Drosophila melanogaster: one gene and its partners. The protein of the gene in region 3 interacts with the protein of the main gene of each other region in a pairwise test. Each region holds a gene or a part of one and is shown on either strand. Other genes may lie near its edges. The genes, in order: CG32772, CG14153 and EMC2A.

Evidence for each region.
Region 1: the proteins of EMC2A (region 3) and CG32772 interact in a two-hybrid assay, tested with the Drosophila melanogaster proteins (one large-scale study listed by BioGRID).
Region 2: the proteins of EMC2A (region 3) and CG14153 interact in a two-hybrid assay, tested with the Drosophila melanogaster proteins (one large-scale study listed by BioGRID).

What each region holds. Positions count from the first base shown.
Region 1 is NC_004354.4:4,907,536-4,915,313, forward strand, and holds CG32772 (uncharacterized protein), read left to right. Parts: upstream 1-1,566; 5' UTR 1,567-1,784; exon of another isoform or gene 1,785-1,916; 5' UTR 1,917-2,223; coding exon 2,224-2,262; intron 2,263-3,316; coding exon 3,317-3,643; intron 3,644-4,845; exon of another isoform or gene 4,846-4,976; intron 4,977-5,207; coding exon 5,208-5,340; intron 5,341-5,409; coding exon 5,410-5,594; intron 5,595-5,668; coding exon 5,669-6,248; intron 6,249-6,310; coding exon 6,311-6,609; 3' UTR 6,610-7,626; downstream 7,627-7,778. Other genes in the region: CG6927 (uncharacterized protein), read left to right, coding at 1-1,072.
Region 2 is NT_037436.4:10,641,137-10,646,087, forward strand, and holds CG14153 (uncharacterized protein), read left to right. Parts: upstream 1-2,391; 5' UTR 2,392-2,406; coding exon 2,407-2,454; intron 2,455-2,520; coding exon 2,521-3,186; 3' UTR 3,187-3,479; downstream 3,480-4,951. Other genes in the region: CG32066 (uncharacterized protein), read right to left, coding at 65-329, 396-658; CG14154 (uncharacterized protein), read left to right, coding at 890-1,465, 1,568-1,741.
Region 3 is NT_033777.3:16,993,242-16,998,801, reverse strand, and holds EMC2A (ER membrane protein complex subunit 2A), read left to right. Parts: upstream 1-2,730; 5' UTR 2,731-2,842; coding exon 2,843-2,876; intron 2,877-2,988; coding exon 2,989-3,397; intron 3,398-3,523; coding exon 3,524-3,680; intron 3,681-3,742; coding exon 3,743-3,991; 3' UTR 3,992-4,260; downstream 4,261-5,560. Other genes in the region: CG3534 (uncharacterized protein), read right to left, coding at 1-15, 230-451, 510-1,337, 1,628-1,749, 2,154-2,213; CG31274 (uncharacterized protein), read right to left, coding at 4,705-5,071, 5,136-5,560.

The DNA of each region.
Region 1 (7,778 bases), on a different chromosome or scaffold from region 3:
ACTCTATTGCTGGCTCAACCTTAAGAAGTTCCCATTCGATGAGCAGCACTGCTCGACGGTGCTGGAGAGTTGGATGTACAATACGTCGGAACTGGTCCTCCACTGGGAGCAGAAGCGTCCGATAACCTACGATGGGGCACTGCATCTCACCGAGTTTGTGCTGCAGCGTTCCTGGTCAAACGAGACGGTAATCAATGCCGATTTGAGTGACCTGCGTCATGGAGCCTTTGCCGGCAACTACAGCTCCCTCAGCTTCACCGTTCACCTGACGCGAGTGGTTGGCTTTTACCTGATGGACTACTTTCTACCCTCCATGCTGATTGTGGCCATATCCTGGGTATCGTTCTGGCTGCAAGCAGATCAGGCGCCGCCGCGCATCACGCTGGGCACCAGCACCCTGCTGACATTCATTACCCTGGCCTCGGCACAGGGAAAGACTCTGCCAAAGGTTAGCTACATCAAGGTGTCAGAGGTGTGGTTCCTGGGCTGCACCATCTTCATATTTGGCAGCATGGTGGAGTTCGCCTTTGTTAACACGATTTGGCGTCGTAAGAAGAGTGTGCCCGTCAAGAAACTGAACAGCAAACACATCCTGAAGTCAACTCTATCGCCGAATCTGCTCAGACGACGCAGTCACGCCAGATCCAGATCCTTTTCGGGCACGGCTCTGCATAAGACAGCGGATACCGGCTCGCTGGGCGGTGCCGGTTTCAACAATTACCTAACCGTCAATTTGCCCATCACCACGATTAAGGAGGGCCAAGTTCTGGATCAGCAGAGGACCAGCCGCGTCGTCCAGAAGATGGATGTTAACTTTGTGGAGAGTGCCTTTGGATCCATGGGCTCTGCCCAGTCCACTGGAGCGATCAGTGCTGCCAGCAGCAGCCAAACTTTGACCAACAATAACCGAACGGAGAGCGCGGGGCACCAGGAGGAGATCGATCTGAGTGGCTGGACCACGCTAACGCCCCAGGAAATAGCCATGTGGATTGATAGTCGAGCCAGATTCGTTTTTCCGCTCTCCTTTCTCGTCTTTAATCTGTTTTTCTGGACATTTGTCTACTGTATTTAAAAAAAGGTCCATTTCATTTTATTATTAGATTACACAGTAGATTTAATATTGTGAAAAGTATCCAATTTAAAGTGTTTATTATTTGTACCCATCGTTTAGCATAGTTTGTTTAATTATTGTGAAAGTTTTGTATTATGTTTGTTTCACTTTGTTCTGTAAAATGATTTTATATTTATTCTGTTGTAAAATAAAGTTCATGATTCTATGGCTGCCTAAAAAACACCATCAATTATTTAAATAAAATAACCTATGATAAAATAAATCTTTCGGACTTGCAATTAAATATTAAATAAATAATAAATTAAAAAACTTGTTTTCAACAACGATTCCATTACCCGCCTCGTTTTCGATTACGGAAATCGATAGAAATATCGATAGGCCAGGCCAAGGAGCACCGGCCAAGCCAACCTGTGGGTTAGAGCAGCACAACTATACCGCGTATTCTTATCGTATTCGTTTTTTCCCCACACATACACACACACGGCTCACGCATACAGCGCAACAATAACATCGGGCCCCAAAAAAAAGGGAAAAAAGACGACGGACAAAAACTTCGTCGTGAATTGTAAAATACAAAAAAAAAACGCATTCGAACGCGCTGGTTTGTTTTTTTTTTCACGTGTAACTACGCCAAAAAAAGGGCAAAGGAATTAAGCAAAAAAAAGAAGCAGAACTTCGAAGCAGCAACAACAACAGCGCCGCATTTTTGCTTGTATGTGCAAGTGCAAGGCAAACATAAACAACGCGCGTGTGTGTGTGTACCACGAAAATATCGTATAAATCAAATTTCTATATCATTTATATAGTTTTTTTTTTGTTTTTGCCATCATAATATGCCATATAGCGATCACCGAAATCCAAACGCAAACCAAACTCCAAAAAGTTAGTTTCAAATACAACCACACATCGTTTGGATCGTGTTCACAAACTTATAGTAGGAAGGAAAAGGAAAAAGATAGAAAAAAAACGAACTAAATAATAATAAACGAAAAAGAAAAACGGCGCTGAATGTTAACCGGTAAAGATAGCGGTAAATTGCGAGGGAGAAGGACGACAACAACAACAACAACGACCGCAGAGGGGGCAAAAGTCAGCAACAAAGTGCATCCTCCTTCTCCTGCTCCCCATCCTATTCCTTATTTACTGTTATAATGGACACCATCTGTAGATTGTGCTTCCAAACGGCAACGGTATGTTAACAAAAAAAAAAAGATATACACACATGTGATTTAGGTATATACACTTTGTTATTTCTATTGATTTTTTTTCTTTTGGTGGAGTTTAAACAATTGAATTCGCGCTACTGTTATTGTGCGGGCGGGTTGTTGGCGCAGGGGGCGGGGTTCAAAAGCGCGCGCATTGCCCCCCTTTCCCCACACACATACAAACGCACACACACAGAAATAAGAAATACACATACACATGCGACCCCAAACTATTGCTGAACAATTTTTATTTTTAGCCAACTCAGCCCGAAAAGTTGTTCAAGCCGACAACTTGAAAAAATATTATTTTTACATTTTGCTTACGCTCGCCACTCGCTTTTCACTTTGACTCCTTTTCAACCTATTCCCCCGAACAGGCCCCCCTCTTTCAGCCCCCTCCCGCCGCCCATGAACCGCACAAAAAGAAATACATATTAAAACAAAATGACAGAAATTGCGCCAAGGCAGCCAAATACGCAGTGGCTGCGCGTTAATTTAGTGACAGAGGGTTTACTATATTGGGCATCTAAGCCCAAAAATTTAAAGTTAAGCGGTTATAAAACTAACAAAACAGATCTAACTTTGCTTGGTTTTTAGTTCATTATTTAAACAATTACCAAATAACCCCTTTTTTGTAGGCGACGCCTCTGCCGCCGCCGCTGGCAGAGCGGCGGCAAAGCAAAACAAAAAGCGAAAGAATAACAAAACGTTGTACCGAAGAAAAAAAATAACATGAAATGAAAACAACAACAACAAAGCAACGAGCTGCTGGTGCTGTTGTTATTGTAGTTTCTTTTCTTTCTTTTTCGCTCTCCATGTGTGCGTGCCTGTGTGTGTGCGTGTGTTTATCTTCTTGGCTCTTATTTCTAGTTGGTGGAAAAGAGAAAGGGCTAGTTGGCATGGAAGGGGGAGGGTATGTGTGGAATAAGATTGAGTTGCCACAATAAATAAAGAGCATTATTGGTTTTTTTTTTCCAATTGGAAGCACTCTCTAATTCACGTGTCCTGTTCTGTTCTATTCTATTCCCCCGCCCTACAGTTGTTCCAGGTGCCCGGCTATAGCATACCCACGTGCGTCCGCTGCTCGGAGCAGTTGACAAATAATTCCAACTTCCATCAGTCGGCGGCGGCCGCTGCAGCCGTCGCTGCCTCTGCCTCGGCCGCAGTTGCCGCCTCTGCAGCAGCGGCGGCCACCTCCTCGTCGACGGCCTCCTCCAGCGACAGCGACGCCATCGCGCAGCAGCAGCAGCATCAGAATCCGCAGCAGCAGCAGCATCAGAACTCGCAACAGCAACAACAACAACAGCAGCAAATGCAATCATCCAGTTCTTCCGAGAACCTACAGTCGCAGGACGACTCCGAAGACGTAAGTCCATTTCAGGGATTGGGATACCAAGGCAGGGAGAGTGTTGCAAAGGGCATAGTGAGTGGGTTGCACTACGTGTAGTGTTACGAGAGGCATGGCAAGAAGTGGCAGCGAATACAGTGCTGCAAAGGGCTTACTAAAGGAGATAAATAAAGTAAATAACTGAAGGTCGTTCTTATTTTCAACTAAAATATGAACGTCTTGAATATGTATATTAATATCTATGAATAAATTTAAAATTTAATCCTAATGTTTAATAGTCCACGAAAAGTGTTCTATGGTTTAGGAATCCAATCAATGCAATTGCCCATCAAACTATAAATGATTCAAAAAAATTGACAATTTAAACCTAATTACAGAGTTCACTGCAATCCTCAGTAGATGCATTGCATTTGGAATTATAGGGGTTTGAAGACCCCCATCAACCGTTTTCAGAAGAGTGCTTTACTTCCCAGGGAGTTCGACTCCTGCTCCTTTTGCTGCACTTGTTTATTATTGTTGTGCTATTTTCTCTTCATTTTCTTACATTTCACTACTACTCCCCCGCTCACAAAAGTCTTACATATACATATACATAAATGCACACGGACACACTGCACATTCATAGCCGCTGCTTTTCTTCTTCACTTCTTATTTCGCCGTTTCTTTGCATGTTCTTGTTGCCTTTCTTTTTCCATCATGCAACAGAGAATTGCAAAAAAAAAAAATGTATAAATAAATGTAAAATTGCCTTGCGACGACTTGGGAATGCTCTATTGCAGACATGTTTAGATACTATTTACTATTGCTGCTATTTACATAAATTTCAAAAAAAAAACTTCAGTACAGTCTCATTCCATCACACAGTCGACGTGGTAGTGTTGGAAAGTTCTTATAGAAGATTAAAAACGGTAGGCCCTACAGATATGCATTACAAACGGGTTAGAAAAGTGTTGAGCGTGAGAGTATTTTCTATTCCACTTGCTACATTTCGCACTGCTCATTTTCTTGTTTTCCTTTATATTTATATGTATATATATATATATATATAGATATATGTATATACACATATATTTTGTGCTTCTTTTTCCATTAATATCTGCTCTGTCGACGTCGACGTCGAAGTCGACGCAGCTCGGCGTTTTTGTGCGCTGTGTAAAGCGGAAAAAATTCATTTTCAGTTGGCGCTTTTGGTGTGTGGGTGTGCGTGGCACGCAGAAAAATAAATAAAATAATTATAATAAAAAAAAAGCTCGTGAAAAATATTAAATGTAACTCAAGTGATTCCCCAATAAACAAACTGAATTCGCACGGGAATTTGCAATCCGTTCTTTTGGCCGCCAGCTTGTTGAGCGTGAGTGGGAGTGGGAGGGCGATAGTGACACAGTGATGTGCACTTGGCTACTTATTCGTTAGAACTATATGCATATATAATGTACAGCTTAGAAAAAAGGTTTTTCGCATAAATTTATAGTAGGTTGTATTAAAGTAAAATGGCATATCATATATAATGCCTTTCTGATGGAAGGTAACCCGCGGTAGAAGGCAAGCCCTTTGCAACTAATGTTCGATTTGTTTCTTTAAGGTGGATCTGATATTCAACGAGGAGGGCTCCTGCCCGCTATGCAACAAAACTTTCTCGCGCAAATCCTCGCTCATGACGCACATACGAAATCACTCGGCGGAGCGTAAGTTTGTGTGCACCTACTGCCACAAAGGTGAGTCCCATATGCCGTTCGCACACATCATCTGGTTCTTAACAATCGATGTACCTCTTGGATTTTCAGGCTTCACGCAGGCGGCCAACTTGCGGAACCACGAACGCATCCACACGAACGATCGGCCATATCAGTGCGTGGACTGTGGCAAGACCTTCACGCAGATCACCAATTTGAACAATCACCGCCGGCTGCACACCGGCGAACGGCCCTTCGTTTGCAATGAACCGGAGTGCGGTCGCAGCTTCGCCCAGGTCAGTTCCAAGATAAATTGATAAATTGCAGAGGATTTATGATAATAACGGCTCGATATGTTCTCGCATTGCAGGTGACGAACCTGAACAACCATATGAAGTCGCACCACAAGGTGCAGCAGTACTGCTGCAACGTGTGCAACAAGAAGTTCACGCAGGTGACCTCGCTGAACCAGCACCTGCAGGCGCACGCTGGGGTCACCGGCTACTACTGTCCGCGTTGTCCGGAGAAGAACTTCAAACTGCAGTCGCAGCTGCATACGCACATGAAGACCCACGGCCTGGCCTTTCCGTACGAGTGCGACAAGTGCGACGAGAAGTTCCTGCAGCAGGCCCATCTCGACCAGCACCTCAAGATGCACGACGAGTTCAAGTTCAAGTGCGACATCTGCCCGAGTAGCTTCAATCAGGAGTCGCTGCTGAAGAAGCACGTGCAGCGCCATGTCGAGGGTCGCTACCTCTCCTGTCCGGTGGCCAATTGTGCCGAGTCCTTTGCGGTGCGCCAGCACCTCTCCAAGCACCTGCTCACCAATCACGCCCACCACGAGCTGCCGCCTCCGAAGCGATCCAAGAAGGCGGGCACGCTGCAGACGTCGCAACAGCCGCTGGCGATGATCGGCCAGCCGTTGTCACTGCAGCACACGACAGGGCAACGTAAGTGCTCACCATTCACTCATTCACTTTGAATCTCACTACGCCTTTCGTTGCATATCCAGGTGGGCGTCCGCCGAAGAACAAGAACAAGGCGACAACGCTGGCCGCCACGGCCATCAAGATCGAGATCAACGAATCGCTCCACAGCCAGCATATCAGCAATGTCAGCGGCCTGTCCATCCAGCAGCAGATCAATCAGCACATGCAGCAGCAGGCGGCACAGCAGCAGGCGCAGCAGCAGGCGGCACAACAACAGCAGCAGCAGGCGGCGCAACAACAGCAGCAGGCGGCGCAGCAGCAGCAACTGCTGCACTTGCCGATGGGACAGGCGGTCAAGGCGCGTTTCATACCCACTAAGTAGGCTAGTTAAGAATGGAAAGAAGGTCTCTTTTAGCTTAAGCCCCGAACGATCAGCTGCTAAAGTCCCTGATTAGCATAGCCATAGCCAAAGTAGCATCACATTCAGCACATACACACGTAAAATATGTTAGATATATGGCGCGGATGTTTTGGAGTCTCTGCAGATCTCTAAATACTTTTGGGTGTCTGAAGTTGATGTAGAAATCATTCTTTATATGCGTTACCCGTGGAGTTAAGCGTATGCTGGATTGGTGAAAAAAAGGTATGGAACAGGCAGTAGGAAGCGTTTTCGTCCTTGAATTCTGAATCAGAATGGAATGGGGGAGTTAGTCGAGTTCATCGATTAAAGCTAGCTTTTAGTTTTTCTGAGATGCACTTGTCCTACTCTCGCATTGAGTTCAGCATCAACTTTTTGGGTATCAGAATCCACTTAATTATCTTGAAATCGGCGAGTGGACTTCCAAAACATCCCGAATTTAGAGTCGGCGGCAAGCTGCTGGTTCAGTTTGGTGTCTGTCTCCCACTTCCTGTTTTGAATTCAGCAGCCAAAGCAATAGAGGAACCAAATGCCCCTGAATAAATTTCCAAGAATATTAGCAGCAATGCATGACATCGAAAGAGATAAGGAGAAAAAGCAGCAGCACCAGATGGACAGACAAAAACACAACTGACTTATAAAATTATGCACATAACACCCACATCTATATATACATTATATTATATAAACATGAGATCGGGTTGAGAAATCTGTAAAACTTAAATCGAATTAAAATTTTATTGTAATGCAAAGGCGCAGCGAAACGGAAAATATAATGTTGAAAAAACAAAAAAAAAAAAAAAACAGAAAGCAAATACAAATTACCTACAATTGATAGTAATTACGCATAGAGAAAAGTAACGAAAACAAGAAGTGAAAAACAATTCGATTAAATTCGGTATGTATTTATGTTAGGCATTAGCTTAAGTGTTTTTATTTTTTTTTTAATAAACCATTACAAAAAATCAACATTAAGAAACGAAAACAAGCCGACAAATTTTCATTACAACGAAAGATTTCTTCTGAATGGGTGAAATTTGTTATATATTTTGAATATATATATATAAATATTTCAGAAGTGACACAAGCGATCAGTTTTATATAATACATATATGTATATATAGTTTATTTGC
Region 2 (4,951 bases), on a different chromosome or scaffold from region 3:
CATAGAAATTAACGTTAATGAACTCTCCGCCCACACCGGCCGCGCCCACCGATCCCCTCCAATATTATGCGGCCAACAAACGCTGTATATTCTTCGGCGTGTTCTCCCCATTCAAATGCTTCGTCGTGTATCGCAGGGCATTCAGCAGCGGCTCCGCCTTGATGGCCGGTTGCGCCTGCAGCAGTCGGACGCACCCCTTCACATCCACATGGGCGCCACGCACGAAGGCTCCCTCCGGATGCACATGGTCGTAGAGGATCACCAGGCCGACCATTACGCGCAGCACCAGCATTTTCGTGTCCTCACGCTCGATCTGTTGCAGGAGTTTTCTAAAAGCAATATTGTCCATCGATTAGAATACTTATTATCATTGATAGTGATTCATTTAAACTCACGGATTTTCCAGCATCCTCAGGCACACCTTGGCCATGGTGCCCAGCGTTTCCGTCGTGTTCTGGACATCATCGGCATTGTCATTGACAAACTTTGAGGTCGCCTCGCTCAGCACCTTGAGCATGGGCGTGGCGTGGGCGTAGAACAGGGACATCCGGTTGGCCAGTTCCGTGCTGACCAGCATATTCTCCGTGGAATCCACACGCTGTCGGCTGACGATGCGTCTGTAGTAGCTAAAATCATTCTGTATGGCGGGGGTTTTCATCTGAAAAATAGAAATATACAATACAACTTAATAAGTTTATCACTTTGAACATGATTTTAGGTATGCAATATGCCTAGCAATGAAATATTATCTGGCATCATTTCGAAACATCCGTCAAAATGAGCAAGCAAAACAGTACGGGATTTAGGAACATATTCAAAAATATTTACAAACGAGACATGAAAGGGTAAATTGAAAATTATTTAGTTAGTTTTCTAATCAACTTTTGGGATGTTGATTCGCACCGCTCGCAGAAACAGACAGAAGACCTTCGTCGTGGAGGATTCCGAATCGCAGAAGCCCGAAAAGAATCCGAGTCCCGAGCGCAAGGAGGATCGCAAGGAGCGCAGGAGGGAGGAGGAAATGGAACGCAAGCGGGAACTGGAGCGGCGAAAGGAACTCGCGAGGGAAAAGGAACGAGAGAAAAAGCAGCATCAGCAGGAGTGGCGCAAGGAACTGGAGAAGGAACGTCAGCGTGAAAAGGAATTGCAGCGTGAACATCTGAGGAAGGAGCCATCCACTTCCTCCAAAAGGGTAAATCCAGAAATCACCAAATTCGACGAGGAATTCGAGCAGGATATTCAGAAGTTGGAGCAAAGCATTTGCCAGCTGGACTTTCGCTCCAAAACGATGGCCACCATGTGGATGGACAAGCTGCGCCAACCACCACAAAATGCAGACGAGGCCAGATCTAGGAACATAATAACATCCCATCTGCTCAAGTGCTGTGGCGATAACATATTCAATAAGGAGCCATTCAATCATCCTCCGCCACCACAAAATTTGACAACCATAAGGGAGATGATGGTGCGTTTAAAGCAAGTCGTTCTTGAAATATTAAGCTATAGTCATATTTAGACAATTTTTTCTTTTCACTGAAATCTAATTATTTTGTATTCTTTTTTCTAGTTCTTAACGCGCGATAGTACGTGCCACGGAATGCCCATTTCCAAGCAGATGGAACCCAACGCCAATCTAACCCAATTATTTAGCGATTCATACGATGGTGGCGAGTTCCTGAGAAAGCTTCCAGTGCCACGTGATGGGGCATTCTTTATCTATTACATGCAACCAAATTTGTAGAAGTGAATTGGATTTTAAAGTAACGCCAGCTAAATTTCAAACATAAGTCTTCAATTTGTATTTTTTATACAAAATGTTAGTAAGAAAACGTTGATACCCTTTACTATAATAAAGCAAGCTCGAATTGTTTCTAATTTTGAAGTTCAGTCATATTTTTAGATAAGATACATATGTAGGGAAACGGACTTGTAAGTTTTTCTTCTAGCAAGCAGCTTTATCAACAAGATCATAAGGTATGCAACTATCGGTTGCTTTCAACACTCGCTCTTGTTAACCTCTAATTACAGTTGACTTGAAAATCTAATTACTAATTACGCGGTACGTGACACCGCAATTTGCCTGCCGCCCGTGTTGCCAATGCTTCCAAATGGTTTTCCACTACGGGCCAGGCCCAAAACAACGATGCCGCACTTAAGCTGTCAGGGCTGCAAAAAAACGTGCGTGAGAAAAAATACAAACATTACAGAAATGCCGCCTGCTAAATTTTTGAGTCAGGTAAAGTGGGGTTTGCTCATCCAATCACCTTGACAGAGGCGCTGCTGCAAACGAACATCATGCACTACTATACATTACTATACTATATATACTATATGGCTTTCCAGAGAGACTGTTGTGAAACCTCATATAAATACGTTATTAGCATAAATCGTTCTGAACAGTCAGAAATGAAGCCGCAAACAGGACGGATCGTGAAGAGCAGCTCGTCGAGCTGGGTGAGTGTTTCACTAGATTTCCATTCGGACACCCGAGATGATTAATCTATTAATGATTATTCCAAGCTATGTGCACTTATGCCCCTGATGATCGATGCAGTTTGTGGGAGAGCTCAGTATGCATCACCTTATGGCAGTGCTTATGCAATTACCACATCCAACTACGCTCAATCCAACTATGCCAATCCAGATGTACAATCGATATGGTCGGGTCCGCCTATCATAGTGAATGATAATCAGTACAGTGCCCAGGAACAGCAGCAGTATCCAAAAAGTAATGGTTATTATGTTGCGGAACCTGCGTATAGACAAGCATATCCAAATTGGAGAAGGGAAGACCCAACACATGCTCCCAATCACAACTATAACAATGTGCCCGGCTACTTTTACTATCAACAACAGGAGACTACGCCATCAACACCTCTGCGCTATCCTCAATCTCAAATTCCACCTCAACTTCAGCCATATCCACAAAGGAATCCGGAATTGGAGACCAGCGATTCGGGTCGCGATGAGGAGCAAGTGGTCCAAATTGGCGGCAGTCGCTCATTGGCCACAAATAACTATCTAAATACGTACAATAATAAGGAGAATTTCTATGAACCCGCTCAGCCCTGGAGGCGTCGTGATTACCAGGCCAAATATGCCCAACATTTTGCCGAATATTTGCGTAAATATCCAAGACGCCTGCAGCCAGTTTACAACACCAACGAGGATTTTGTTGAAAAGTAGGGGAATACTCTGCATTTGACTTTGCATCAAAAAACATATTGAATAAATCCCCTCAAGAGCCATTAGCAATTTTCGTTGAAAGCGTGCCAAGAAAACTATTTCTGTCTGTACTCGGAACAGATCAATTGCATCCGATAAAGATACAGATTGCAGCTGCTGTAGAGTCAACATGCCAACACAGTAAATATTGGTTTATCCCTTTAAAAGGCAAGAATAATAATAATTGTATGTAACAAAACTATGCTTAGTTAGTTCCGTAAGAGATACACAACAATAAAAGTTATTTTCAGAAGATTTTAATTAATTTAAAAAACTTCACTAAAAGGGAAATACCCATTTTTTGAAGCATGTTCTTTGTATTCTGTGGCATGCGTTGAACTTTGAATATCAGTGGTTAACTTACATAAAGGAGCACTAAAGCCAAGTTTATTGTACTCTATACAAGTGCCTTCTCGATGCCCCAAGATTTTTCGCAATAAACGCGACATTAAAACGAAGCAAGTTACAAGCAAAGTCAATAAATTGTACAGCATACTTTGGGGCGCACTGAAAACTGGTGGCAACAAAGGCGCAGAAACAATGCTCCTCCTCTTCGAGAAACGGAAGTGGCAGTTAGTTGGGAAGCACGTTTGGGCTATATAGTATGTACATACATACATATATATATATCGGTGTATACATATATGCAACTTTTTACACGGGAAAATCTGTGAGCGCCCGGCGGCTGACACTTTGAGCACACAATGAACGTGCAGTTTGCAGCGTTTAACATCATCATCATCATCATCGCCATTATCATTACCATTATCGTCGGGAGCACAAAGTTGCAGACACACTAGACATCAGAGACTAGAAACCGACGATGGCGATGACTTCGCCATTCCCTACCTCCACCATTATTTACCCGATTGTCCTAGATCCCAGCTTTCAGCTATACATATAGTGCTCCACAATCGATTTGAATGAAAGTTTCGCCAAACGGAAGCGAACCATGGGAAATGCGCCATTCACAGGGATTTGCCATTAAACAAATCGATTTTATTTGACTCCAGACAATCAACCGGCATATCCTCCAACTGCCGCAGAAACTGATGTGGCTCTGTGTAATGTGTTTTAACCCAGTGCGGGGATACGTTTGTGTTTGCATAGTTCACAGGCCTTTGTTATGGCCAAACACTTCAGGTTAGCCAACATAATTGAGTGTTTGAATTTCATTAAAAACCTATTGATTTTGTGGGCATTTTTTAAAGAGTTTATGCTAGGAAAATAGTGTGGTTATTGTGCGTTAGTTGCAATGAGTAATATATAATCAAACAAGAACGGAAAAGGTAATTTAAAATAAAATTAGGAAAATGAAAAAATACTGAACAACGTTCCTTTTATAATAATCACAAAAAAAAAAAACGCTGTATAGTTTTTACACACGCACTTAATAAACATTTGTTAGCTCTCATAAATAACCTCTTGTTTACTTTTTGAATTGTACCCTTGTAAATCTTTCTCAATCTAATTTTTCCGTCTTGTACATACATTTTTATAATTTTCTTATATAAGTGAGATATTCTACTTTAATGACCCGCACTGTCAGGCCACCGAAGCCGACATAATACACTTTACATCTTCATCCGGCCATCGGTCGTTTGTCGTGGGCCATTTGGCTTGCGTGCGCGTAAGTGCCAGCGATGCTCCACTGTGGCCCCCCAACGAATGTGCACGAGTGGCCCGAAAGATTTTTCATCAATGGGCCGCAGCACGCGCTCGTCTT
Region 3 (5,560 bases):
TGGGGCGAGCTGAATCTATAAAGCGAAAGAGGTCAGGAATATTTTATACATTTTAAAGAATTCAGTAGAAGGGAAATAGGCATTAAGAAAAAGTATAAACGACAAAAAACATGATCATGTTGGTAAAAAGTCATTTCTAAAAATAACTATTTACAGATGTCTGTTAACTGATTATGAGTCATTGCTTTCATGTCGGACCTAAAACAGCTAAATTTTCAATCAGACTTACTTGATTACACCCCTAGCCGCGTCCGGGGAACTGGGATCCATTTCCCTGTTCCATCGCAGAATACCCTGCGCCTTGGGAATGATTTCCATGTCGTTAAAGTGCACGGCCATGTTCCCAAAGTTTCCACGGGGCGTGGAGTCGAGATACTCATTGAATTTATCCCAATCGCCGCCGGTTGTCTTCTTGTTCATTTCCTCACGGACCAATGAAGCATTTCTAAAACTGAAAAAGACATTTAAATAAACTAATTTTAAGATATAATGTCCCAGGAATAATTTACCATAGAAGGCCCATGAATTCTTCCGTTTCAGTTGGATGGCAGAGTATATGACCCTCCTCCCAGTTTAGCGGCTCCTTCAAGCTCATCATTAGGGTGTCACTTGTGCCCATGGAAATGGTAAGCCAGCTGCTGCCCACCAACATTCCAGACAGCGCCGAAGGATTGTCCCCCGTGCTAGCAGCCACTTTGCAATCGGGCGAAAAACTAAAGCGCTCCACAAAGTACGGAGAGACGTTGCCTAAAATCGAATTTGGACTGACCGGAATGTCCAGGCGCTTGTCCAAATCGGGTGCACAAACATTTAGGCATTCTTTGGACCAGTTCTTCTTGCGGATGTCCAGCAGATTCATGCCGGAACCATCACTGAAGTCAATTGGAGCGACGGAGCCCAGAAATAGCGATGATATAAAACTGCTGACCAATGAGATTCGGTTGGCCTCTTCGTAGGCGTGGCAGCGTTGCTGATATATCTTTCTAATTTGGGGACCCGTAAAACGTTCGTAGCACTTCGAGCCCGTCAGTTCCACCATGTTAAGTTTGCCACCAACAGCCATCTCCATCTCTAGGCACTGTTTGGTGGTGGTGGCGTCCATCCAAATCGGAGTACGATTTACCACAAAGGCGGAGTCGTCGATTTGTGCGTGAAGGAACTTCTCGGAATCGAGGTTTTGCAGCGTGTTGATTCCATGTTTGGACCAGTAGAGCGATCCGTGCTGCTGTCCGGAGCCACTGATGGCAGCTACGGTGCTAAGATCCGCTTGCTGCATAACCAGTCGGTCCAGGACAATGTCCATGGCCTTCACCCACATCACTGGTTGTACAAAGTATCTAAAGAAGAACAAGTAAAGGTGGAGTCAGGTTAGCACATATATATTTTATAGTACCCATTGTATATATGGTCCCTGTTATAGGAAGGTTAAAAAAAACTTGAAGTGATAGAGACCCATTGTGGTGTAATAAAACAACTGCTATGAAATAGGGCCCTAAGTATTATCGGACAAATACCCCACAGCGCAAGATATAAAAACGTAAAATATATCCCCCTATTTGCTTTACGCAAACAATCATCCCATTAAAATCTTCAATTGGAGTAATGGATAGTGGTGAAACAGACTCACTCATTTTTGATGGATCCAGCGTTGGCTCCACCGGTGGTCCGGAACTCCGGCAAGTCGGTGTCGAATTTCACTTCAGCCGCGGCAACCACCTCCAAACTGGAGCCCAGCAGGACGGCTTTGAGCTGAGAGGAGTAAATGGGGCAGCAATTAGCGATATGGAGACACACCTCGAAAATAACGATCAAACATAGAGGGCAACTAGGAGTCACCGCCAGCGTCATTCAGGGATTGTGAAAGTTATTGCGGCTCTATTAAGATAATGTCGGGGGCCAATACCTCCGAACATGAATTTCAATAATCAAACCATAATAGTTAAATCGGTTGGCGCTCGCGTCTTTAGCAGATAAGCGAAAATCGAGCCCCGGTCACCGCAACTGATAAGAGTAGTTCGTGTTTCAAGTTCCCGAGTACCGTTTGACCTTTTCCAGTAACACCATTCGCACGCAATTGGCCCAGATGTAGTCGATTTGGAGACGCCTCCACATCTCAGATGCAAAGATACTACGTAGGCAGTTCCAGTTCTCACCTTTTGCGTGCTCAAGTCGAAGCCAAGAAAGGTTCGTTTCAGCTGCTTTGGCGGACCCATGTTCAAACTGCTTCCGGATCTGTTGGGAGTTGGGGAAATTAAACACAGCACCGCATGCGGCACTGCCCGATTCCACGGCTTTAATACCCGGAGAGCACGAGAGACTTGGCTTTTGTTGACGGTACCACAATTATTTGATTTGTTAGTGTGACCGTCGCTGGAAGAAAAACTATCATGTTTCATGTTTTCGTTGGCGCGCTTTTCAAATGTGCACTTGACTTAGAAATCTGTTAAAATGGATAAGCAATGCACAAAGTTTGGACAAAATAAGATTAATGCATGGTAAAATAATTCATTAAAGAATCCTTTTCAAGGACCTACAAGTATTTCAGAAGTATTAACAGTTTAATTAACTTTGCAAATATCGGAAACAAGGTATATGTAGAAAAACTTAACTTTAGAAGTCTCTTTATAATAAAAAGTTTTAAAAAATTACCTCTGACTTCATTTCTAGACTTTACGATATTCAAAAAGCAGGTTGGCAGCGCCACGCTAGTGTTATTTGGTATAATCTAACGGCTCATTACGCTGCCACACTTTTATTTTGCCAAGAAGGAAATCGCTAGTTAATGATTACAATTGGGAAATTAAATTAAATTGATGAGATATTTAAGTCCGCCTAAGTGAATATGTCGCTAGATTATGAGAAGATGAGCTGGTCGGGTAAGTTTTCGGCTTTTCCCGGCTCCAGACAGGTGCAGACCACGTCAGTGGGTTGCTCCCAATTGCCATGAATGAAAAGTGCCGTATCATAAGCGTATGATCATCCTTTCAGATGTACGGGATCAGTTCAGAACGTGGCGCGAGGAGACGGGTCGCCACAGCGAGGAGGTGGTCCAGCTGTGGGTTGCTGTGCTAGAGGACAAGGTGCACAAGACCGGCAACGAGCGGCATCTCATCCTGGAGCAGGTGATCATCGCGGCATTGGATACGGCTCGCTTTGACATCGCCACCAAGTGTACCAAGCAGCTGTCCCTCGAGTTCCCGGGCAGCCTGCGCGTGATGAAGTTCAAAGCGATGCGCTACGAGGCCCTGGAGCAGTACGATGAGGCCGACGAGGTCCTGGATGCAATCATTGCTAAGGACGAGACAAATGCCGCGCCCAGGAAGCGCAAGATTGCCATCCTTAAGGCCCGTGGTCGTCGCCTGGAGGCCATCAAGGAGCTCAACGAGTATCTGAAGAAGTAAGAAAGCTAAGTTCATGGTGTTTTTGGAAGAACGGAACCAAATTAGTTTCCGGCATCCGGTTGCTAGACAACTACTTATCTTACCATGTACGATAATCTCATAACTATTTAATATTCCTTCAGGTTTATGTCTGACCAGGAGGCATGGCATGAGCTGTGCAACATGTATCTGGCTGAAGGCGAGTTTGGCAAAGCTGCCTTCTGCATGGAGGAGGTTTTGCTGCACAATCCGCATAGCCATCTAATACACCAGCGTTTGGCAGAAATACGATACACAATGGTGAGCTATATAAGCCCACTAACCAGTAATGAAGTCCATCTTATGAATTAATTTTCTTTCAGGGTGGCGTCGAGAATATGGAATCGGCTCGCACTTACTATTCGCAGGCCCTGAAGCTTAATCCGCATAACTTGAGGGCCCTTTATGGCATTTACTTGTGCTGCAACCATTTGGACAACTCTCGTGCTGTGAGCTCCAAACGGAAGGAGCTGCAAAAGTTGAGTCAATGGGCCCTCGAACAACTTTTGACTAAACAAACGATTGTACCCTTGGAGGCTGCCTTTGGAAACCTGGAAATTAAATCGAATTGACCAATATAAGCACTAATAATTTGTGCAATAGATGCCAGAATGTAATGGTTCCAAATATTCTCAGAAGTGGGTTTCCAGTTTCTGTTCTTTAAGCAGGTTACATAGATAAACAATTAAAGAAATAGGAGTAAAAACAATTTTATAGTCAGTGCATCCAAGCAACTGTTTTTGGTGGTCTAGTATTGTTGACGGCATTGAAACCGGATAATTTAAAACATTTATTATTGAGGTAGGCAAAAATAGTCCTGTAATAAATTTAGATTAAACGCAATGAACTGCTTTGAATCATACTTTTAATCTTTGGCCTCAAGTTTTAAGCAATATTAACTCGTGCCCATGTGCTTACATCCGTAAAATTAATCGGGCACTGAACGACATTCAGAATAAGTCGAAGAACATTTATTCTGAAGATGGTGCCTATTGTATACTTGACTATTCGCTGAGGTCATTGACTCTTATTATTGTAAAAATTGCTTTAATGCACTAGATTAATTCTCACTAGGTTTGTGCGTGTCCATCGTCATACAATTGCAAATTTATATACGTACATGGCAATAACCATATGCATATTTACTTGCATAGCACTGTAGGTGCAATCGACGACTGCAGGGCAGCGAGGGCAGCGCTGATAATCCAGCGGACGGTTAAAAATAGTCCAACAATGGGACAGAATGCAATCAGTGGAATACCCCTCCCTCCTTCGGCATATTACTTCAGTTTGTGGAGGAGCCGTTGCCAAACATCCGTCCGCTGTGCGATTTTCTGGAATACTTTGGACGGATGATGTCCTTGAAAGTGAATGCGGATGCGAGTGGAGGCTTTTCCGAATTGCTCGTGGAGTCCGGACCCTGTCCTTGTGAGGAAGACAGCGTCGCATAAGCTGCATTCCTGCTGGTTGGAAGTCCATCGAGATATTTTAGCTGGGGAAGCACCTGTAGTATATACTCGCGGGGTCCTTGGCCCCCGAAAACTGTGCGGATGCCAGGATTCCCCATGCAAGAGAGCTGATCCAGCGCAGGACAGTGCCGTTCGATGCGGTGTATCCAATCGGTTATATTTGCTATATCGCAATTGTTGATCCTGCAAGACGAATAGAATATGTGTTATTGCGTGGACCCATGTATGCAAGATTCAGGGTAATCACCACAAGATCCTTAAGCTCGGCAAATAAGGAAAAGTGTTTATGTCCAGGTTTACGTTGCGGTCCAGGATTAAAGTGTCCAGATCCTCGAAAAAGGAGAGAAATCTCAAGTTTCGGAAATCATTGTGACTCAAATCGAGAAACTTGGTCTGCGCTGCGAATTTGTCGGCCAGTCGCCGCGGAATTGTCTTCAGGTTCTCATAGGCCAGCGAAATGCGTCCGTTGTCCTCTAGGATGCTTTCCGAAAATGATACATCTTCACTTGGACAACTGCTGATGGAAATGTTGCCACTAAAGGAATACGGATTCGGCGTAATCATCTTCCCCACGTTGTCTTCGGTCAGCAAAACGTCGTTATATTCGTAGTTCAAGCTCTCCAGCGACTGAATGTTGGCACAATTCCTGAGGACCTCCGTTAGGCAGGGATT